Lepisosteus oculatus: one gene and its partners. The protein of the gene in region 2 purifies or fractionates together with the protein of the main gene of each other region. This does not show direct contact. Links are inferred from orthologs where the notes say so. Each region holds a gene or a part of one and is shown on either strand. Other genes may lie near its edges.

The links. The genes of interacting proteins can lie anywhere in the genome.
Region 1: the proteins of nepro (region 2) and rpp30 purify together in Homo sapiens (affinity purification with mass spectrometry; 3 studies listed by BioGRID and IntAct, counting the BioPlex papers as one, with this or other methods). This does not show direct contact. The link is inferred for Lepisosteus oculatus from reciprocal best matches to the Homo sapiens genes RMP64 and RPP30.
Region 3: the proteins of nepro (region 2) and rpp25l purify together in Homo sapiens (affinity purification with mass spectrometry; 3 studies listed by BioGRID and IntAct, with this or other methods). This does not show direct contact. The link is inferred for Lepisosteus oculatus from reciprocal best matches to the Homo sapiens genes RMP64 and RPP25L.

The regions. Positions count from the first base shown.
Region 1 is NC_090699.1:21,222,276-21,230,266, forward strand, and holds the start of rpp30 (ribonuclease P protein subunit p30), read right to left. Parts: upstream 3,042-7,991; 5' UTR 2,991-3,041; coding exon 2,909-2,990; intron 2,575-2,908; coding exon 2,519-2,574; intron 2,429-2,518; coding exon 2,372-2,428; intron 1,896-2,371; coding exon 1,830-1,895; intron 1,738-1,829; coding exon 1,669-1,737; intron 1,283-1,668; coding exon 1,193-1,282; intron 847-1,192; coding exon 730-846; intron 590-729; coding exon 560-589; intron 1-559. Other genes in the region: kif20bb (kinesin-like protein KIF20B), read left to right, coding at 5,059-5,172, 5,721-5,810, 5,951-6,070, 6,213-6,351, 6,453-6,637, 6,713-6,776, 6,973-7,179, 7,311-7,422 and 2 more. UniProt on the Homo sapiens protein: Component of ribonuclease P, a ribonucleoprotein complex that generates mature tRNA molecules by cleaving their 5'-ends. Also a component of the MRP ribonuclease complex, which cleaves pre-rRNA sequences.
Region 2 is NC_090708.1:33,935,069-33,942,914, reverse strand, and holds the start of nepro (nucleolus and neural progenitor protein), read right to left. Parts: upstream 3,028-7,846; 5' UTR 2,746-3,027; intron 1-2,745. UniProt on the Homo sapiens protein: May play a role in cortex development as part of the Notch signaling pathway. Downstream of Notch may repress the expression of proneural genes and inhibit neuronal differentiation thereby maintaining neural progenitors.
Region 3 is NC_090705.1:20,166,725-20,174,364, forward strand, and holds the start of rpp25l (ribonuclease P protein subunit p25-like protein), read right to left. Parts: upstream 3,042-7,640; 5' UTR 2,912-3,041; intron 1,086-2,911; 5' UTR 1,068-1,085; coding exon 477-1,067; 3' UTR 1-476. Other genes in the region: dctn3 (dynactin subunit 3), read right to left, coding at 5,001-5,090, 5,830-5,889, 7,382-7,440. UniProt on the Homo sapiens protein: May be a component of ribonuclease P or MRP.

The DNA of each region.
Region 1 (7,991 bases), on a different chromosome or scaffold from region 2:
GGCATTTAACATAACAGACTGGTATGGAAACCTGGGGCTGAAAAGCAAAACCAAACTGTCCAGAATTGTGAAAATGGCAGGAAAAATAATTGGGAAACAGCCGCCCCAGCTCAACGAATTACGTCATAACGCAGTTCTCAGAACGGCAAGGAAAGTCACAGCTGATTCCACACACCCACTCCTTTCTCAGCTCATAATCCTCCCATCAGGGAGACGCCACAGGGGACCAAAATCACATAAAATCATTTATAAGAAGTCCTTTGTCCCCTCTGTTATATCAATGAAGGTATGTAAATGTATCCCCCCCTCTACCTATTTATTTATTCAACTATTTATGTATTACATATTGTTGTTTGTGATTTCATGTGACTTTATGTGATTCTTATGTTTTGCTTGTGTTTGTACTTCTGTGGGAGAAGCCAAAGGCAAATAAAGTGTCTATCTATAAATGTCAATGTGTGACGGAATGTGCATTTAACAGTATTTTATAGCATTTGAGTTAAAAATGCCAGTAGTTCCTGAAATTGTAATAGGAAGAGAAATGAATTATAGAAAATACCTTTTCTGCTCCACTGGATATTATGACATTCTGCAACCAAAAAAAAAGTAAAAAGTAAAGCAATTAGCTTGTCACCACTTGTCTTTGTTAGGCAAACATGCATATTTTAAAATTTGTGCTCACAAAGACACAGCATTTTGACATATTTCAATGCTCCCTGAAATAAATACCTTTCCTTTGCAAGTCTGCATCAGGCTGAGTGCATTTGAGATTGTATATCTTCTCATGGTAGAGTCTTTAATAGCGGGGGTGTAAGTGATCTCAAAGAACACTCCCCTGTCTATTGCCTGGAAAGCAAAAACATATTTTAACCAAACGTAAGGCTGTAATTTGCATGTGCTATATTGACAAATACCCTAGTCCAGAATCCATTGAATTAATAACTGAAATATTTAAAAATGCTTAAATTTAAAAAACTTGAAATTTTGTCATTTTCTCCCATCTTGCCTTTTCCAACTAGTACTTCCAATTGACTCCTAGCCAAATTATTTTTTATCCAATATACAGTATCAATGTATTCAAAATAGAGATAATCCAAAGTTGGAATGTTTTTAATTAATCAGGCACACACAGATTTGAAAACAAAAATTCTGCAATTATCTAAATTGACAAGGTACGGTATAATGTACTTACACCATTTACGGGAGGTCTTTTGAAAAAGAAAGGCTGCTTTTCCGTGACAGTGATACAGATTATGTCAACATCAAATGTCATGCAGGCTGCCTGTTAACACACGAATATCACGAGTAGGTACATTTCTGACAATGGCTGTCAGGCTACCAAAATCCAAATGATGCAAAGAGGGGTGTTATTATATCTGTCAACATTTGTAGTATCCTAAAAACCATATCCACATATCAGCAAAAAAATAATATCAAGTGGCAAATTGCTGCAGTAAATACAATACTTTTAACTCTGGACATTCCAGACCGACACTCTAATCAAGAATATGTTTACAATTGACTTTAGAAAATGGATACCTATCTATTTTAATATTATTAGTAAAACATCGTGTTAAGAATAATTTGAAAGCAGTACTACTTATTTAGTATTCTTCTCCTTTTCTTTTTGTGATTTAGAAGCAACAAAAGAGCTAAATTCCTACATACATGAAACAGCTTCTCTGTTTTAGGGACCACAGCCACAAGGTCATAATACTTCAAATCTGCAGAAGGCCTCTAGGAAAAGAAGGAAAAAAAAATAAGATCACATAATATTATAAATGCACTGTCATTTATAACACATTCCACAGCAAAAATGTTGTACTTACAAAGTGAGATGCATCAGAAACTCCGAGTGTTAACCTGTTCAACACCTTAATTGGCCTGGATTTCCCCTAGGAAGAAAAGAAGCATACATTTAGTTTATAAACTCTTCAGTCTGTCTTGGAGAGAAATTAGTAGTGCAAATGTGCTGCGCTACTATTTTAACGAAGGAGCAGCATTTATATATTTGAAATTGGCAAAATACCCATGACTAAAACTGGAAAGATGAAGAACTCTGGCTTGAGAACTCTATTCAGTGACGTTTATAAGCTGTTTAGCTGTTACCCCACAGGTGTCCCAGGCCATCAGATGTAGACAAGTCAATGTTAAGTGTCTACTGTGCTCCAGATTCTGAACCAAACCCATCATCCAGCTCAGCCTTGTCAGGCTCAAAAGCTCCACAAAGTAAAACACAAAGTTGTACTACAAAAGAGCTGACTTTACTGACATCATATTTAGCCATCTCAGTTCAAGTACACAGAATGACAGCACGCTTATGCCAGTTTAATAAATGCAGAAAAGCACCACAACAACATCGTTACAGTACCTGTACAACAGGGAGTTGTCTGAACAGTTCATCAACAGAAGCAGGTTTCCTTATTTCCTGCAAACCAAACATGATTTCAGCAATGGCATACATTTAGCAAATATTTTGATGGTGTATGATTGACATACAATGTACCCCGATTGTTACCTGCTTCTTTGGTTGTAAATCAATCAGATGATTTATTGCCACCGTGGAATAACCAACTGAAAAGACAGAAATAAAAAAAAAAGATGGGAAAGGGTTTGAGCCTAGTTTTAAATTCGGATAATAGCAAGAAGTGTCCCAGCTTTAATATAGGGACTGTTAAAATTAGCACGTTTTAGGAGAGAAAATTAGAATAAGCAAACAGCTCACTGTAAATAAGCTTTATAAATACAAAGCGAAGTACAGTTGTAATTTTGACTTAAGTAAAAAAGCCTCACTTTGACGATGTATGCATCCAACTGTCTGTATCTGTAAATCAAACATGTGCTCTCACCATGTACTTTTTGGGAGTTACTCGTTATCTATAACTTTTTCTTTGAAAACAATACTTACGATGTGCTGCAGTTTCTATAATATCCCGAAGCTGTTTTTTATCATCAGTGTAGTTTATGTTTAAATCTGCAAAAACAGCCATGTTGGTTCCACGTGAGACACACAGAGCTCATGTCAAGGGTTAAAGTGATTGTCCGCACCGGTGCTGCATGGGAAATGTAGTAAAGGCTAAGTAATATACCGTCCATCTTAAAGAAATTAGATAAACATTTAGTGTATTTCTGAATATGCTGTGTGTACAGTTCTCGTTGTTTTGTAAGAGTTAAGAGATTGTTTTTACGCTCATATGTATTATTTGTTATCTAAACACTGTTAAACACAGTATAATTGAATTTAACATAAATGTTGCATCTCCAGTTAATCATATTGGGGACTTTACTGGAGGTTTTTTTCGAATACGCATGATTTATAAAGCTGTATTTCATAGCCATACAAATTCCCATTGGAAAAAAAAGAAAAACAATTTCGTCTTTCCAGTTCCGCTTCCTTTCCCATGACCCTCTTCGCTAGTGACGCCTGATTGGTTGATTTTAAAAATAAGAACCGCGATCATTTATGAAGAACGGAGTGCTGTGGTTTGGATAAAAGGTTTCGGGGGGGGAAAAAAAAAATCATTGTCTGTGTAAGTTTGGTGATATTTCTGGTTGTATTTCAGAAAGTATTCATGTTTGTGCATAAATGGTTGTTGCTATGATTTGCGACTTTTTAAATTGTTTGCACTTATTTTTTTCCGTTCCAAGTAATAACAACGTGAGGTAATCCGAAGTAGTTTAGTTCTAACCCCTAAAAAACCAATAGGGTTTATACAACGCAATTACGTTTTAGTTTCAAGTTTTTTTAAATGTAAAAGTGGTTTAGGAGATTGCGGTGTATAGGTGTTTCTGGGGAGATGCAATTTATTGGTATTGTTTATCATGTGAGCTGCTTGTTTGGCTGATTGTCAAGTGTCATTTTGTCTGATGGGTGTTTTCCTGCTTGATTAATAAATTCTTTAATAGTTAAAGATGTATCGGTCATTCAATTCCACGAAAACTAGGTCCTAGTTAGATGGGTGGGATATTTGCCAAGTTTAGATTTACTGTACTCCTTGTGTTTGATTTAAGGGCGTGGATAGGAAAAAAAAGTATATTAATCTGTAAACCAGAGTCTGGGACTCGGAAAATCTGACATCTAATGGAGAAAATAGGAGAACACTTCCTTCCTATGAGCAGTAAATTTCTCTACTGTCTGCCTAAACAGGTCCAAAATTAATAACATTATTCTGAGTTACAGGTGAAGCAGAAACGTGTAATGCAATCACAGAGAGATAATTAATATAAAACTTTAAAAAGCTATAAGAAACAAGTGTAAACATTTGGGGAAAATATTAGATTATTTATTTTCACTAATAATAATAATCAATGAGTATTTTGCATAGATTTACTGTAGATCTGCAGGAGGCTACACATGAAAGAATGTGTATGTTAATACAGATTTGTCTTTGTTATCAAGACTTGGAGAAATATCAATATCCAAAATATCAAGCATTGTAGAAATAAAAGTGCGCAGAATTTATGAGTATTTAACAAATTGTAGAATTTAAATATTGAAGTTATGTCCAACTTTACGGAGCCTTCTTAATACCTGATTTAGAATATTGTTTAGTTTAGTCAGCATACCAAAGAAAGATTCTTGACCTCGAGTTCAAAGCACACCTGTGAGAATAATTCCTGTTCACAGGGAATTGTCATATGCAGAGAGGTTAAAGGAATACAATTTCTCAATGCTAGAATAGAGATTGGTTAATTCATATGTAGCCCTAAAAGTTAGTCCAAGGGAGTACTTCAGATAAATGTTATTAAATATTATGACCCAATACCCTGTTTTGATAACGGGAACGTGGGGTCATAATTGGAAACGAAAAAAGGAATTGTTTTAGGATGGAAAATAGTAATTGTGTTGGCATTACACAAAATGTTGTGGATATCACTCTTGGGCATCCCAGCCATATATTTGAAACCGAAACCTTGGGCTCCATCGGTTAGGTAAAATTTCACATTCACCGAGTTGCCAAATACGAAAAGAGAGAGAGTCTCCACTATTTTGCAACCTTATAATTTTGTCTAATTTTGAAACTAATGTCTGTTTTTTGCACTGCATATTTTTATAGCATGATGGAATCCTGCTTTAATGACAGATTGGAAAAAATAGAAGCTGTGAGTATAGAGGATTTGAAAAAAGATCTTTCTGGAGAGTTTTTGTCCATGTCTTCTGTTACTTCTGAGGTAAGCTGCTTTTAAAAGAACTGATTTAATTCATTTTAAATTGCTGTTGACCTAAAGTTTAAGAAGGTGTTATATGATGCATCTCTATCACATGCTAAGCATGGTTAATCGGTAATTGTCACGTTAGCTAAACAGCCCTGTGCCCCAGCGTAGGGGTAACAGACAAGTTAGCCCTGTAACGTAGCCTTTTTCTAAACAGATTTGCAATCAAAAGTAGTATATTACATTTTTACAGAAATGGGAGGACATGATTGTTCCAAATTTCTACATTTAAATATAGTGCCATATATTTCATAGCATAATAAGCTTCCTTTGGTGATGTGTAAGCTGTTTGTTTTTTGCTGGTAACTGCCCTTTATTTTAAAATTTTGGTTTCCAATGCATTCGATTACTTGTTTATACCTCTTGATTGTGTATGTTTTGGCATTCATTTGTAGTTGAGGTTGTATGCCTTTTGAGGATCTCTGAAAGCTCAGAGTGTCCTCCACTCAGGAAGTTCCACTGGTGCGTTAAGCACCGTTCTTAAAATGTGCATATATGCCTTCCAGGAGTCCAGCTTACAGGAGAGAGAACACTTGCAGGTTTACCTTCGTATCAGACCTTTCACACAAGCTGAAATGGACAGCGACGAATCACAGGTAAGCGGTAAAAAGGCAGAGCGAAGGGTGTCCAGTTCTTAACATGAGGGTCTCGCAATGTGAGCAGTAACCGTCTGTAACGTGTCAAATCTTGTAATTCTAGATTTAATTTCTCTTCTCTTCTTTCTTTAAACGTGCAGGAGTGCGTTAGCATTGAGAATCCAGATAAGGTGTTCCTCAAGGCCCCAAGGAGCTCTTTATCATCTCGGCTCAGTGATAAGTCACTTCCTCAAACAGCCCAGCGGTTTCAGTTTTCACAGGTGAGTTGTCGAACCCAGATCTAGCACATTATCCCATGAAACATTCTCATCTAGATGTAAGGGATGTGACCAGAAATTAATGTTTCATGATTATTTGTTATACTGTCATGCTCATTGTTTTTTCTATGTTCACTTTCTTCAGGTTTATGGTCCAGAAGCAACACAGAAGGAGGTTTTTGATGGCACAGTCAAGTCTTTAGTTAAAGACTTTCTTCAAGGGGGAAACTCCCTTGTTTTTACTTATGGAGTAACCAATGCTGGAAAGACCTTCACCTTTTTAGGTGTGATTTTCTACGTTCTTTTGTGCTATTTCTGTTATTACAAACCATCCATGGTTGCAAATGTAGCTTAGTAACTAATAATAAGATTTTTGGTTTTACAGGGCCCGAAAACAATAGTGGCCTTCTGCCAAGATCTTTGAATATGATATTCAACAACATTCAAGATAAAATCTATACAGAAATGGACATTAAACCACAGAGATGCAGAGAATACATGAGGCTGAACAAAGAGCAACTCACGAAGGAAATCGCAAACAAAAAGACCATTCTGCGATTAGCAAAAGAGGTAATCTTTCGAAATTACTACCTTTTCGTATTCCCTGTGCTTCATACTGTTACTTATCTAAATTTATCTATGCAGTGTGATTTACAGAAAAGCATGATTTCTCAATTGAATTCGACCAGCAAGTCAGCCATATTTGAAGGTATGTATTCACGTTCAAACTTTTAAGGCCTATTAAAGGATTTTTTTAATATATATATATAAGTCAAACAAGGGTTTTGCCCAATACTACTTCTTGAAGAAGCTAGCTATGTGGAATATTTGCCAATCAACTCGACACTTGCATTTGTTGTTGAAATCGTTTTTTCCTCTTGGGTTTGTATTCTGTTTTTTCACAGGCACTGCTGTGAACAACACAGAAGAATTGGATTCAGAAAGCTTCACTTTGGATATGAACAGTCACTCCAAATACTCGGTCTGGGTGTCTTTTTGTGAAATCTATAATGAAAACATTTATGACTTGCTTGAAACGATCCCAAATAATTCCATGAAGAGAAGTACTCTTCGGCTCTCACAAGATGTGAAAGGGAATCCTTTTGTAAAAGGTATTTCTGTTTTCTTTTTCTTTGGGCTTCACTGTACTGGTGGGGATGTTGGACAAGAACTCTTTAAGGTGTATATGTGATAGGATTTATGAACTGACATCTTAAAGACCTGAGTCTTTCTACGTTTTTAGATCTCAAGTGGGTTCAGGTGAGTGATGCAGATGAGGCATATAAAGTTCTAAAATTGGGGAAGAAACACCAGAGCTTTTCCTGCACAAAGCTGAATCATCTGTCCAGCAGAAGGTAATGCTATTTAAAAAAAACGTAATTCTAACTGCTTGTTTTTTTTGGGGGGGGGGTTTGGGACATTGCATTATTTCCTTCCACATTCTGTTATGTAGAGTGTTTGCTAATGGAAAAATTATACACAGTTTTGGGAATCTTCACTAGTATTTGATTCTGGACTCGTAACCGAAACTTGTGGGTTCAGATGCTTGGTGGGACACTGCTTTTATCTTTTAAGAAGGGTGCAGTTGGAGTAAATACTAGCCATGGAAATGGATCTAAATAAGTATTTCTTTAGATGAAATCAGCCAATTAATGGTAATAATGGAAATGTTGTTTTTGGAACACTCTTATAAGGGACTGAACTCTTCCAATTGTTTTTGTCTTTAAAGCCACAGCATTTTCTCCATCAGAATCTTACGGATTGAAGATCTTGGTATACCTCGTGTACAAAATATCAGCGAGTAAGTGTCGCTTTTGCTACTGATTTTTTTTTTTGCTTTGTTGATTTTTAAATGCAAAGTTTGACCTTCTTTTTTTTCTTTTTAGGTTGTCATTGTGTGATCTAGCTGGATCGGAGAGATGTG
Region 2 (7,846 bases):
CGAGTGGCTAAAGCAGTAGTTGGAAAAGCGGGGTCGAGGTCCAGGGGAGAAGTCACAGTACGGCAAAGGCGTAGTTAGAAGGTAAGCTCCGGGAGAGAATCTCTATCGTGAGCAATGACCGGGGGACAGATGAGGGTTTAAGTAGAGGACTGATTGACGCGTGCACGTTTGGTATGGGGAGAGCTCGTGGGAATGTGGGAGCGCTTGCCTGCCTGAGGGAAATTCGTGACAGAACCAACAGAATCAATCTGGACTCATAGAAAAACAAGAATGCCACCGAGACACCTGCACCCCCTCCTGGACCACTCTGGTATCAACACCCCCAAACCCATCCATACCAGCTAACAAGACTCAGAATCGGTGCAACCCTCCAACCTGGACAAAGAGCAGGATGGGACGAGAACCTGCACCACACTACATACACAAGTTTGTATTTTTTGGCTGAAGATGAAAATGTCTAAAATAGATTGTTTTGGTTCTAGCAAACAATAATAATAGTTGTTAAAATCCAAACACACATAATGAGATCACTCTCTGTCAGTATGTGTAACATTCTGGGTCTGGGCTCCTCTGTATTTGGGCTAAAGAGAGTTCAACAACATTATTAGTGCACTGACATCATAATCTGACAAGAGACATTGTTTAGGGGAGATTTGACGACCCACTGTCCCCCTGGTATCGTGAAGCTCATTGTCCTTTAGCTTACCAAAACCAGAATGTAAAAACTTGGTTTCAGCAGTGCGGCTGTTGTATTTGAAATGCTACTGAGCCATGAAGAAGACCCACCTATCCCAGTGTGTTACCTGTAGTGTTATCTTAAAAAATCATAAAAAATAAATAAATAAAGGGGCCACAGCCACAGTAAGGTTGTATAAGGTTAGGTCTGGTGTGTAAAACAGTTGGTTTCAGCAGTGTGTCTGTTGTACTTGAAATGCTATTGAGTCATGAAGAAGACCCACCTATCCCAGTGTATTACCTGTTGTCACGATCGCTAACCCCTCCTCTTAAGGGTACTCTAGCCCTGCCTTGTTCCCTTCCCTTGTCTGCACCTGTTCCCTATTCCCACTCCCCCTTAAAAGCCAGACTCGGACCTCACTCCTGGTTCCTCATTGATTTCTGCATCATGAGAGCTCGGGGTCCTGCTGCGTCTGGCACCGTTATGGTTTTAATCTTCTGTTCCCGATTCCCCTTCCTTCACCAGTCCCGACCCGGTTCATGTTTTAACTCCGTGGATGGATCCCCTGGCCTTGGTCTCTACCCTTTGTCTCGGATTAATCTTTTGGATTTCGCCTTGTTTGTTCGCCCCGGATTCACTCCCCCCTGGACACCAGCACTGCATGGACATGACCCACCGTCTCCAGACCCTCTCCCGCATGACTTTTTCCCTAGTGTATCTTCACTATTCTGGATCGCGTCGTATGCATAGGGCCCGGAAGGAACTGCTACGTGACACCTGTAGTGTTATCTTCAAAAAATAAAGGTTCCAAAACCCAAAACAAAGCTGGGAAAAGTCAGAGGACCTGCTTAGTGTGCAAAACACTTACTTGCAGCATTGTGGGTGCTGTGGTTTAAATGCTATTGGTTTGTGAACAGAATACCCCTATCCCAGTGCATTGTGCCACATTCAATAAAAGCAGGAGAAAAAGAGATTCAGAACACAAAGCTGTGTCAGTGTTCTGTGTAAAAAGTCGGTTTGAACGTCATGGGAGCTGTTTTTAATAAGCTGCCGAGTAAAGAATATTTTAATCTTCCTGCTACCAGTAGTATTGTGAATATAGTTGACCCTTACCTGAATGAAAACAGGACGTAAGGGAAGGGTTTCAGAAACCAAACAAAGCTTTATTCCAGTGCTTACAGTCTGAGTAATTGGAGACTGCGCTATTCTGTTGCCTATGGTCATATACGGGTTTTTCGCACGAAGCCGTATTGAACAGTATTTCTCGCGTTGTGAACTTGTGTATACAGCGGTCCCCCGTGTTCCAGTGTGTAATAACGCATTGATGAAAAACGATAAAAAAGATAATTAGCTCACTGATAGTTTGATGTAGAGGCTGTGGAAATATCCACAAGTCGTGGTCTTTAAAATGCATTTGGTTTGAAGGCGTTCTGTGCTTCCATTGCGAAGATATGGACAAAAGAATATAAGTGCTTGGTCAAAACAAATGTCATAAAAATGAAAAAGTGAAGGCTGAGAAAGCATTCACAATGTATTCAAGAACTTCAAGCTAACTACCCCGGTGTAAAGTGTAGACTAAAACAACTTTTATGAAGAGGACCTATATGTTCCACAAAGAAACAAGATCTAATATTTTAAAACCGAAGAAAATAATACACAGGCTTACTTACACCCATTTCTAAAAACACATCCCGGTTACGATTTACAAATTATTTTAGAAGCATATATCCATTATATTAAACTAGCAGTAGAAAATTGCTTTTTATTGCGCATTATTTTGCATGAAATGCATTAGAAATCGCGTTGCTAATTATATGATTTTTAATACCTGAAACAAGTATTCGTACCCTATAAAATACCATTTTACTAAAGCTAATCATGCTGCATGATTTCACAATTAACAGTTTGAGTAATTTACTAAATATTAACATTGTGACTTCAAAAGAATAGAAAAATGCATGCACAGTATTATTTTTCTGAATATTAACGATGTTAAATTTGTCTTATTTATAAAGGACTGAAAGCAAAGAAAACTCAAGATCTTCTTTTTGAAAGACATTAAATCTTACCTCGTAAAACGTCATATCAGCCTTTACTTTCATTTGCACAGTATGCACAGTGCATTCAGCCATTCCACTTCGTCATTTGTTTTCCAGGAAACGTTTCTCTGTACTTTGGATTTAAATTTTACCAAAGGTCCCTCTCGCGTCAAGGAGTGGTATTGTTCTTATTACGGATTACTAAAGGTCTATAGCTGGCTGTTGTCTCACGTTTGGTGAAACTGATTAAACATCTGACTACTCTCTTGCATTTTTAAAGCGGCTGTATTGTGTGGTCAGAATTTACAAGAACCGTTTTTTACATTTTTTTTTCTGTATAGACTGTATAGAACCGACATTCTCGCTGCATGTATTTAAACAGATAACTTCGATTTGAAGTGTACAAACGACCGTAACTTTATTTAATGTTAGTGAAAAGACTTTCATAAGCACATACTATATGTACACACATAGAACATACAAAAAGTACATGAACCTTTACTCTGATTCGTTAAAAAAACGTATCTATACATTGTTAATGTTTTTTGTATTAATGTGATAAACACATGGAGCTTGATTTTATTTTGTTACAACATCGTTGACTTCACTCGAACTTTTAATACCATAATGAGCACTTCACTTATTTCTGCAAACTACTGAGATCACCTGAGACCCTGTAAGCAGGGATGGCAGTGATATTTGGGGTAGTCACTTAATCTTCAACAAATCTTTGAAGATCAAAGACACAAGTTTAGAGAGGTTTAGCATACAAGTATACTGTATATAAAGTAATACCATAGTGAATACATTTTATTTGCTTAGAAGACACTCTTATCCACTTAAAGCTGGTGATGCACTTCATCCACAACAAAGCACACACTAGAATGATAGCCATGATGCAGTTGCAGCCCTACAATACAGCAGATCCAAGAAAGAAGCAATAAATTGCTTCACCAGTTAAACTGAGGGGAAACTTCATGTTGGCAAGATTTATTAAGCCAAGAGTGAAATTTAACCAATACAGTTTAAAACCATTATAGTAGTTCAGGTGGGTAGCTGCGTCATTTCATTGTAGGTTTCATTTCACACCTTTCTTCACACCTATCCTGACTTCACACTACCTGACTGGCCACTCTTTCTATCCCCCGCTCCCACCTCCAGCCCTTCCTCTGAGCTTTTGTTCTCCTATGCTTACTGATCTGTCTGTCTCACACCTGAAGAAGGCTCCATGGCCGATAATTTGTGTTTTCTTTCTTCCATTTTCAGCATGGAATAAACCTATTATTTGTTCCTTAAAACCATTATGTTTAGATGCTGGTTCAGAAGAAAAAGTGCCTCTGGTCCATCAAGAAACTTTTACAACAGCAACCTTAAAACGTCCATTCCAGTATTTATTAGCTCCAACATTCCTTAGCATCATTACAAAAGAGATATGTCCATTTGTTATTGCAGTAATATTTCTGTCACATGAAGAAATATGTGGTGATGTGAAAATACAGTAGAAATGTTAAGTTCTGTAATATGGCATCCAAACAATCCATTGAAAAAATGTTTTCTGTCTGTACATTTTTAGAAAACAAATATGCATAATAAGGTTTTACTTTTTTCTAGCTAAAAATATACATGGGATTTTGACAACCGCTGCAGAGGATTACTGTCAATTGACAAGAGATATCATCATCTATGGTGCTGGAGGAGACATGAACTTTCATTATCTGGTTGACCTGGCAACTTCTCTGACTTCCAATGGTACTTTGCTTCTGGGTTATGTGTGAATCTTAACCTTGTCTACAGAGTCAACACCTATAAAGCTGTTTTTAATATATCACTTTATTAACCCTTAACAATTTCTTGCATTAGGAATGATCTTTTCGCATACCCCAGCTTGCTCTCCATGAGACACACAGACACACAGATAGGGAAAGAGCCTGGGGTCAGAGCGCAGGGTCTGCCATTGTACGGCGCCCCTGGAGCAGTTGTGGTAAGATTCAATGATAGTCTTGATATTAACTTTTCCAATTGCTTAGTATGCATTTGAAAATTGCAATTCAAAATGTACAGTACTAATTTTACACAATTTATTTTGCTCAAGACACATACATACTTAACACAAATAAAAATAAATTATGATTTTCTTGTAACATTATCTATGATTAAAAATGAATTTTCAGATTGTTGGAGGCTTTAAAGGAAATAAGGATTAAGAACTGATTAATGCATCTTAAAAAGCACACTGCTGCCCATGTGAATACAATAGTGACAGACAAATTTACAGTTTTGGAGACAATGTCCAAAACGCTTTTCAAAAAGTATCATTTAGCTTTGTATGGATATACAGAGAGGAATGATTGTTTAAGATGAGAAACACCTAACAAGGAATCAATGAGATTGTACTGGTAAATGTGATGGATTAGCTACTGTAACACATCATATGGGCTGTTTATAACCTATCTTGAGTGCATGTAATCATAACATTGCCAGATAAGAAGCTTGTTTTATTCTCCCCAAAACCTGAATTCCAGTTCCTTTTTGCACATTTACAGTATTTCTTCTTACACCATCCATTTAATTCAACCGGTTAAACAACTGCTCACTTCTTCACCAAAGTGTATTGGGGGAGCTGTGCATGAACAACATGTTTATTGCCTATATGTAAAGTGCTTTGGGATTGCAGGGAATGAAAAGAGTTATACAAAAGTATCATCAGTTATTACTACTACTACTACTATCATTACTACTACCTTTAAACATTGGACAAGGTTAAGGACAAATCCAGCCACAGTCCGTAATTCATGACTATAAGGTACAATTTGCAAAGGACACCATTGAGAGGATATCTATATAGGATCCATCTATTTTCTATTTTCTATTCGCTTTATCATGTACCTGGTCATGGGGGAGCCACGGACTATCCTGGAATGCAACGGGTGCAAGGCAGGATATGCCCTAGATGGGACACCAGTCTATTTCAGGGCACATACAGACAGAAACATACACCCACTCACACCAGGGCCAGTTTTCCCAGAAACCCACCAGTATGTCTTTGGAGTGTGGGAGTGTTACAGTATGTCCCGGTGTGGTCCATGTTTTTTTGTTTTGATGCCATCTTCCACAGTTCCTGATTTTGGTTGTTCTCCTTCCCCATTGGTCCGTTAATTTATCCACTTTGCCATCATACGTAATCAGCTTCTCAACCTATCAGAACTCAGCATATTTAGTATTTAACTTGTAGGTTTTCAGAACGAAGGGGCCTTTCGCTTGACTTCAGTTCTGCTCAGCTCAGCTTTGTTTTGCTATGGCTTTGTTTCTCTCCATTTTAGTTCATTCTGCTTCGTGTGTGTTTCCGTATAGCTTCGGCTTTGTTGGTTTGTGTTAGTTTCCATGTACCTTTGTTTGTTTGTATTATCTTTACTTCGCCATTACCTTGCCCAAACATATTATATCAACCTCTGTGTTCTTTTGTACCCTATTCCTAGTCTACTCTCATTTTCCCTTGTTTGTATTCGTAGTTCACTTGTGTATTTGTGTGAACTTTTGTGTAAAGGGTTAGTTTAGGTTTACGGGTACATTCTGCACATGTAGTTGGTCTGCGTATTAGAAACACTAGTTTAGGATGGGTGAGTGCCTTTTGTCTTGTATGGTTTTGGGTAGTTAGTAAAGATTAGCCAGGGCGTTAGAAGATGCCTAATACCGAGTGTTTCGGGTTTGTTTTGGTAGATAGGTCAGCTTTCCCTCACTTTATTAGACAGCTCTTTTTTGTTTGTTATTTTCTTTTCTTTGGCACCGCTCTAGTTGCCTTTCCCTGTCTGTTTTTGTGTCCTTATACGTACCAGTCACTTATTCACATTAAAACAAATCCCTTTTGCACCAAACCTGTTGTCACGCTTCCTAAGTCCCTCACGAGAAACCCCCCTGCATCCAAACCCATCCTAAATGTTACACCCCTTTACCCCTAGACACTTGGAGTTGTAACAGGGAGGAAACTGGAGCACCCAGAAGAAACCCACGTGAACACGGAAAGAATATACAAACTATGTACACATGCCTAGAATTCAACCCAGAGCTCCAGCATTGTGCGGCAGCAATATTAATCACTGCGCCACCGTGCTGCCCCAGGAGGATATTTATGAAAATTATTATTTTTATGAAGAAATTAAATGTGATGTTTACTGTGCTTAAAAAACAATAAAATCTGATCTATGTCAATTTATTTATTTATTGTAATTTAAGAGTCAATTTTAATGTCAGAAACAGTCTTGGAAAATACAAATACAAAAGACAATCCTGCTCACACACACGGAATCTCCTACTCCCTCACTTGAAATTTGGAGCCTCCTGCTTCTTCACTCGAAATCTGGAACTCCAGCTCCTCAGCTGTCACAAACTCCACAAAGGGTATGGGTTATTTCCCTTGAATCCTTGAACTTCTACTGTAAGTCCACTTCCAACTGCTGACGTTACCACCTGACCACCAGGCTGGGTTCACACACACAACACTCATCTAAGGCTCCAGTGCTTCAGTCACACACTGAGACTCAATACTGTCATGAACACCACACTACCTCTCTGATCTCGTGGTCACACTCTCATGTCCCATGTCATGTCCCTGTGCAGCTCGCAACTGCCGGAACACATTTTCTTCGAGCCCAGCCATAACTGTCTTTACTCTTTTTTTCGAACACTCTTGTCACTCCTTCCAGTGCATCTCCCTTGCCCCGTCTTATACCACTCAATACCAATACCCTAGTCCTGGGGTTCTTCACCTGGGGGTCATGACCCCGTATTCCCAGGGGGGTCGCTCAGTAGGTAACAGAGACAGAATCAACCAAAACAGGTGGTAAACAGGACACATACACAGATTCAGGGTGGTTACACCTGCATGGTTAACACTACAGTATTTACATTAGCAGGGTGACTTAGTGGTCACTCTGCGAGCCCAAAGATCATTCCCCGGCTACAACTCCCAGCCTGCTCTGTGGTGCGTCCGGCGAGGGTGCTACATTAATTCCTATTGGATGGGCCATGACTGCATTTATATTTGTAGCACTTTTTTTCTTCGCACAAGGTAGTCGTGATTAGTCTAGCAATGGAACATTTGTAATAGGTGGCACTTGTAGAGTGAGAGCTAAAA
Region 3 (7,640 bases), on a different chromosome or scaffold from region 2:
AACATTAATATGTTTTATTGGAAATATCTCTGCTAATAAAATACTCAGAAGTTTTTCATAATTCTTCTTTTAATCCAGTGAAAAAATAAGTGTTCACCTGAGTTTGTATTTATATAATTTATTGCATCACTTGAATTAACTTAAAACATTCTTATAAATTCCTTCTTCTCTGTTCAACATATAAAAATAAGGCAGAAGACAAATTTCATCCGTCTACACTTTTAACTCGTCCATTTAAACTTGTAAATGGGAAAGTAGTCCATGAAGATCTAAGGTACACAGAGACAGATCTTCTGCTTCTCAAACAAAACATGTAATATTTCCTTCGAAGTTCAGATGCCCACTAATTCAAGTTCCTGCTGATCTTTGTCCTCGCTATCGACATATCCTTCCTCTAGAGGAACTGGTGAAGATTTCCTCCCATGAACCTCTTTGGCTAGGAACTTGGCGTCTTCAGGATAGTTGTCCGGATGCCCTCATTCGTGGTGAGTGCCCCTCCAACTTGGCGCTTTCCCCGACACCTCGCTGCGCCGCCCCCGAGCTCCCGAGGAGGGTCGACCCCCTTTCCCTCTGCCGCTGCCCCCGCCTCTCTTCCTGCGCGGCTCCTGCGCAGCCCCCTCCTCTCTTGCGGCCTGGGCCCACAGGGTGTCAAAGCAGCCGGGCGGCTGGTACCCTGCCTGGGTCGCGTCCAGGGGGTCTTTGGAGAGCAGGACCCAGACGGCGGGAACGTTCTTGTGCACGGTGAGGCCGTCCAGGCCCGCTGCCGGTTCCAGCGGCTCCCACAGCTCCTGCGTGCGGCTGTAGAGCAGCCGCGTGACCTGGTGCAGCCCGCGCACGCGCCGCTTCAGGATTTCCACACAGGTGATGGTCTTGGCCACGCTCTTGCCCGAGCCGGTGAACACAATGTGCCGCGTGGCCTCGCTCTCCATGCGCCCCACCGCGAAGCCCATCAGGTTGCGGATCTTGCTGCCATCCTTGACCTTCATCTCAGGTGTGCCGGCGGGCAGCCCAGGGAAGGGACAGGGGCAGGGCTGCTCCATCGTCTTCGCTTTGCGGTAATTCTCCATGCCTGGGCGGCCTCACAACTGCACAGACAATAAAGGAGCAGGGCTGTCAGTGCCTTTCCTTTTCAGCACAATTATATTCACAATGATCTATTATTGGAGACCATCACTGTTTCTTGCTTTCAGGAAGGTCTTGCATGCTTATGTTCCCAATTAGAACATCTGATCCTCCTTTTCCGAAATTCATCCTTGTTGTAACAAATTAATTTTCTCTATTAATATGGAATAAAGCTACTGAAGACACTAAATTGTACGCAGGACATATGTGAAAAGTTTAGGGAAGGATCAAAAACGGCAGTAAAAACTCTGTGAAAGTTGGGAGTGTTGTTTCTGACCCATTTGCTTTTCTCCCTTCCTTGATCTTTAAACTTCCACTGTCGTCTGTGCTAGAGCAAAGCTGAAACACGTGCAGCGTAACAGTTAAATATAAAGCAAAATTTCCCATGTTTAAAACCTAACTTAATAGCAAAACAGAATTTAGATAGTAGCTTAGATATTTAAAGGCTAGTGAAGAATTAGAAATGTCTGCGTTTTTAATCATCCAGAAGAACCCAAACAGCAGTAAATATAGGTGTGGACCAACTTCAACCGCAACTGAATGCAGCCCAACCTGGGTGAAGTGTGGCAGCCATTACTTCACTATCTGAAATAATAATAATAATAATAATTGCTTACACTTATATAGCGCTTTTCTGGACACTCCACTCAAAGCGCTTTACAGGTAATGGGGACTCCCCTCCACCACCACCAATGTGCAGCATCCACCTGGATGATGCGACGGCAGCCATAGTGCGCCAGAACGCTCACCACACATCAGCTATCAGTGGGGAGGAGAGCAGAGTAAATGTAGCCAATTAAGGAGGACATTTAAACAGACCAGATAGTGCAACTCCCGAGTGAAATTTAACCAGGACACTAGGGTAACACTCCTATTTTTACCAGTAGTGCCATTACATAAAGACCAAATAGTACAGACAACGTTTTTGGCACTCATTGCAAAATTTGTTAAAGAAGTTATTTTCATCATGACGGTCATATCAACAACTCTTATTTCACAGATCTACACTCTTGACTAAAAGCACTGTTAAGTTGCAATTCAATAACTGAACACCCTTTTTCGTGTTTCACTCTTAGTTATTACTTTTAACTCAAATTTGTATCTATTTTGGTCAAGGTATTTAAAAGATACAGCAGTGTCAAAAAACAGTATGTGTATCACCTCGTTTGATTAAAGCAATATAACATTCAAGTGATGCTATGTACACGATAGGTGTGTATATTTATTAAGAGTAAACACATTTATTATTGAGTTGACGTGCATATCGGACTATAACAATAATATTAATAGTGAATGAATTAAGTGTTTGGATAAAGCGTTTAACATGACATAAAGGAGTGGAGCGTTTATTCGGTAAGTGCATTTCTTTTTTTCCATGTCCGCAACAGTCACGCGGTAAGTGTGAAACTAGAAGTGCACAAAATACAGATCCCCTTTGTGGACAACTGGCATCCGTACAATATATTTTTTAATAAAACAAAATTAAGTGACTGCAGTGGGCGTCACCTAGAGGGCAACAGAGATATGCGGAGCATTTCATTTCATAACTTATTTAGTCGTGTGTTGTGCTGATATAAAATAACGCAGCACGACCCTAAGGTCGCAACACTTTTCTGTAACTAATTGTTCAGCTATAAATTACAGATCTATCCCTCACTACTGATACAATAGCCTGCAGCCCAGTCTGATGTTCGGAACAAGATTATTGAAGCACTTAAAGCGCGTAAAAAGTACAGCAATCAAATCACACTTTGGACTTATTGTACTGGAGATGTAGATTTATACTCACACAGGCAGGGATCCTCGCTGTAGTTAAAAAAAACACAAAAAATAGTACTTTTTTTACTGTCATTTAATTCGAACAGCACACTACAGTAAGGCTCATCACCATTGCCGAAAAATACTTTGTTAAGCGTCAAGCAGTAACAGCTGCTGTAAAGCGTTGGAAAATACCAACGTTGCTGCTGGGAATTGTAGTTCGCACCCCTTTCCGTCGCGGCGCAGGTGTTGGTGTTCGGGCGTTTACTACTAAGTGGTTACTCAGTTCTTGTGAATACTGTGCCTGCTGCTCTTCCCGTCTGCTAAACTCTAAATTTTCAGCGCTAATTTAAATGGTCTGTTTGCTTCTTTCGACTACTCAATCTCGAGTTTCCAAACACCACACTTCATGGGTAGTGTGTCCCTCATCTGCATTATAGGAGTTAAGGCTTTCAACTTCCTTACCCTTATTTCTGTTTAAACTGCTCTTAATATTTAATCAACTACTAAGGAACTGATTCGTGTGAGGATGGCATTGCATCATACACCTCCACAATGAACTTTTTTTCTTTTCTGCTAAGGTCATATTGGTTGCATTTCAATACAAAAGCATTAAAAAAATCCTTACATTTGTTTAGCACTCTTCTGGCCACTCCACTCAAAGCGCTTTACAGGTAGGGACTCCCCTCCACCACCACCAATCCACCTGCATAATGTGATGGCAGCCACAGTGCACCAGTCCACCCATCACACATCAGCTATCAGTGGGGAGGTGAACAAAGTGATGAAGCAAATTCATTGATGGGGATTATTAGGAGGACATGATTGGTAAAGGTCAATGAGAAATTTGGCCAGGATGCCAGGGTAAGCAGGGTAACACTCTTACTCTTTTTGAGAAGCGCACTGGGATTTTTAATGACCACAGAGGTCAGGACATCGGTTTTACGTCTCATCCAAAAGACAGCACCTTTTTAAATTAAATTAGGCTCTTTTATGAGTCTTACTCAACAATAAACATGACAAACAAGAAACATTTGATAACCAATTATCTTCATACATTTACACCTTCATCAAAATACAATTTCAATATTACTATATAATAATTTTGGAGGTACACCAGTTATGGAAGACTGACTGGAGTACACAAGTGGAAATGGAAACATTTTCTATTGAAAACAGAAAGTGCCTTTTTACACACAAATATTCTAGGGCTTTAGAACAAGCTTCCCAACCATGTGGAAACTGATGTGGGATGCTTCACAAATGAGAAGTCAATAACCTTACTATTACTATTTACCAAATGAGTAAGATTAACCAATTTGTCTTTAACTTTTTTATATTTTGACAAATTAGGAAACTCTTATTAAATTAGGATAATTAACTGTGTGTGGCATAAATGAGAATACCAATTACTCATCTCTTTAGATAGTGAAAGAAAACAAAAACGGCATGTGTAGTTTAATAATTTAAGTTTATTGTGTTCTTTTTATAAACACAGGTATCTCTCATTTCTTGTAGAGACCCTTTTTTCATTTTAATATTTCAAAACTGTAACATTACAGAACATGGAAGAAAGTAAGCTCCTATGTGACTGTAAAGTGTTGATAAGGACTAACAAGCACTGAAGGTCCAGAGCAGAAGTTGGAGGTTTTGGTGGCAGACAATGCGATTACTTCATGAGCCCTCCATGAAAATCACCTGGTCCACAAACCCTCTCTATGCCCCATGGAGACCATGGGAAACATAACATTTGGATAGGCTCTGCAAAAACAACCTACACCTTATATCGTAAGTAGCGTGATATTCACTTTGTGCCAGTAGGATAAATGGGATGGAAGTTATAACCTTAAAGTATTTGGTACTACCAGTGCGTTCCAAGTTGGATATTGTATGTTTGTTTAAACACTGCAGCTGCAATGTCTATAATGTCAAAGGGTTCTTTAAGTCAATCCATCTTGGATACACTGTGTAGGGAAGAGGGGTTTCTGGGACTTCTGAGTTACAGGAAGGGAGGGAGAAGGGTGATCTGAGGCATGTGGTGAAACAGGTAAGAGATTCCATTGGCGATCCATCTCTCCTCTGAAGTCAGGGTGTGTCTGGCATCTTCCAGGCCAAGGACTTCACTCCACTACTGGCTTGACCTGACTGGCATTTTCAAGCTGCCTCAACATCTCGTCCCATTGAGAAAATTGTTTAGACAGCAGGAACATCTGGCATGAAGTCAAGGAGCATAACTGTGGACCAGTATGTCTTAGTTATATTATATGTAGGGCTATGGAAATGACAACTGGAACATCTAAATGGAAATGGGATTCTAGTTGGCAGTCAGCATGGATTTAGAATAGCCTGCTTAATTAGTTAGTTCTCTGAACAAGCAACAACAGTAAAAAATCCAGAGCACACAATCTGGTATATTAAGATTTTCAGTAGGCTACTGATACAGTTCGTCATAAAAGACTAATCCTAAAATTCCGGGTATTTAAGATTATATATGTCTGGATTTAAAACTGGAAAATGGATATAAAAAAGAGCATCAGATAAAAGGGTAAATACAGTGGGAGGATGGAACTAGTTGAGTGCCACAATGGTCTGTAACAAGAACACTGTTCTTCCTTTATATCAATGATCTACGATAAATCGTTTAAAATGCCTTACACTTACTACACTTATCATTAAGGTTAACCACATAACTGATGTGTTATGAATTATTACAACACAACTGGAATGTACTGGCGATTTGTATTATCCAAAGAAATTCACTGTTTTCCTATTCTTGTTTCCCATTCGTCAATTAACAGAAACTGAAAGTTGGCTTAGTCTGCTTCACATCTGGCTGACTTGCAGATGTTAATACAAAATGCGCACCACACTGTTGATACACATTTTCCATGTGATGACAATTTGAGACATAAAGTAGTAGGACTAGCAGCAGTAGTGTCAGAAGGATACCATCTTGTTGTAATCTTCAAACTGCTTCTTCACTTCCTCAGATAGAGTTTCACACTGGTCCTGCGGAGAAGAAAAAAACGACTGAGGTTTTGAGGTAAAACAAATGATATTCCAGGATTACCAAAGAGAAGGGATTTAATTTTGTAGTAGGAATGTTGAAAACAGTAATTTTAATATTACTTTAATTCCAAAAGACAGTAAAATTCACTCAGATTATTATTGCCCACTGTACACCACTAGAGGGCCCTCTAGCCAGCCCCTCTCTCATTAGTTCAGCGTGAGAATGTATATCAGCACCACCTGGGTCTTCATTAGAAACCCTATATAACATTCGCACACAATCTCCCTGTGTTTGCATCAGAGCCACGGCACCAGTCGCCAGACTGCGGACGTCCGTTTCCACTCTCTTATGGAGATCTCAACCATCATGTCGAAATTCGTACACTTTTATCTTTGCTTGAAGGCTACAAGAACGCCACTTAGTGTACACGTCGGCTCTCTTGGCTAGAGGTATCGACCAGAGACCAGAGAAAAGGCAGCCACAAAACCCACACTGTTAAACACCTAAACCATTTACAATCTACAGTAGCAAGTGTTTCCTTTTCCTGGCAGGACTGCTGCCCTTAAGGCTATGAGTACACTTAAATTTTTTTAATAATTGACACTACAGTGGAAAGTGATGAAAGTACTGACTTTATACTGACAAAATGGGCGATAACTGTTTCTATGCAGCATTCAAAGGGATCTCTGACCTTAACCATGATGCCGCTGCAGCTACTACTAAATTCTGGAGGCTTTCGCTGCAAAGAGCATAATGTTACTATGGATTTGGCTTTGTTGAATTTTATTTCAATTAACGCTTATTGATGCAAAGCAATGTGACCCTTGTGTTTTCTGGGATCAATTATTTATGACCAGTATGGTATGACTTTGCTCTATTCAATTCTATTATAATTACACCATATCATTTTCAGAAGTATTTTAAGCAAGACAATCTATAATTTATGCTCTTACTGCATATGGTGTTGCTGTTCCGTTATCATTGTGTGTTAACACATCTGGAGGATACTGTATAGAATAAATGCGTGTGCATGAATACACAGAGAAAAATACATTTAATCTTCAAGCCTTTATCGATTGGCCACCCCAATATTTTTACACAAATTTGTCATTGGCTTTATTTCACCTTACCCTTGAAAATGAATAAATTCATCTTGCTGTCTTACAAGAAGTATTAGATATGTAAGCAATTTTATCTGGTTAATTGCCCTGTGAAGGTTAGACTATCACTGAAAAGGAATTGAGTGAGAAATAGTTCATTTTGCCTTTGAAAAGCAATCATGATAGTTCGTGAATGAAGACACACTGTATCTAAGTTAAATACAAAAAACTTTAAATACTTTCTTCATAGGGGTAATGTGAGCCTATTCTTTCCACTTTCCTAAGAAAGAGGATTACCTGCTGTTGAACCACTTTATTACAGAGAAAGAAATCAGAGCCCAGATTGATAGACAGCAAGAGAGAGATAGAGTTAGCGGCAAGGAGCTCATACCTGCTGTTTGATGTGTATCTGTGACAGGCGTTGCAGCTTGGTGGCGTGGTCAGGGACAGCTGTGTAGAACACAGGCATGTTACAGAACACTCCCAGAGGGGACAACACAGGCAACAGTGACAGAGCAACCTCTCAGAAACCAGCCAGGGTAAGATCCACAAAGACCTCTTACAAAACACATGGGGTTCTCCTCTAACACTGTACAAAGCAAGAAGTGGTACAGTATTTCCACATTTGAGAGATTATAATAATAATAATT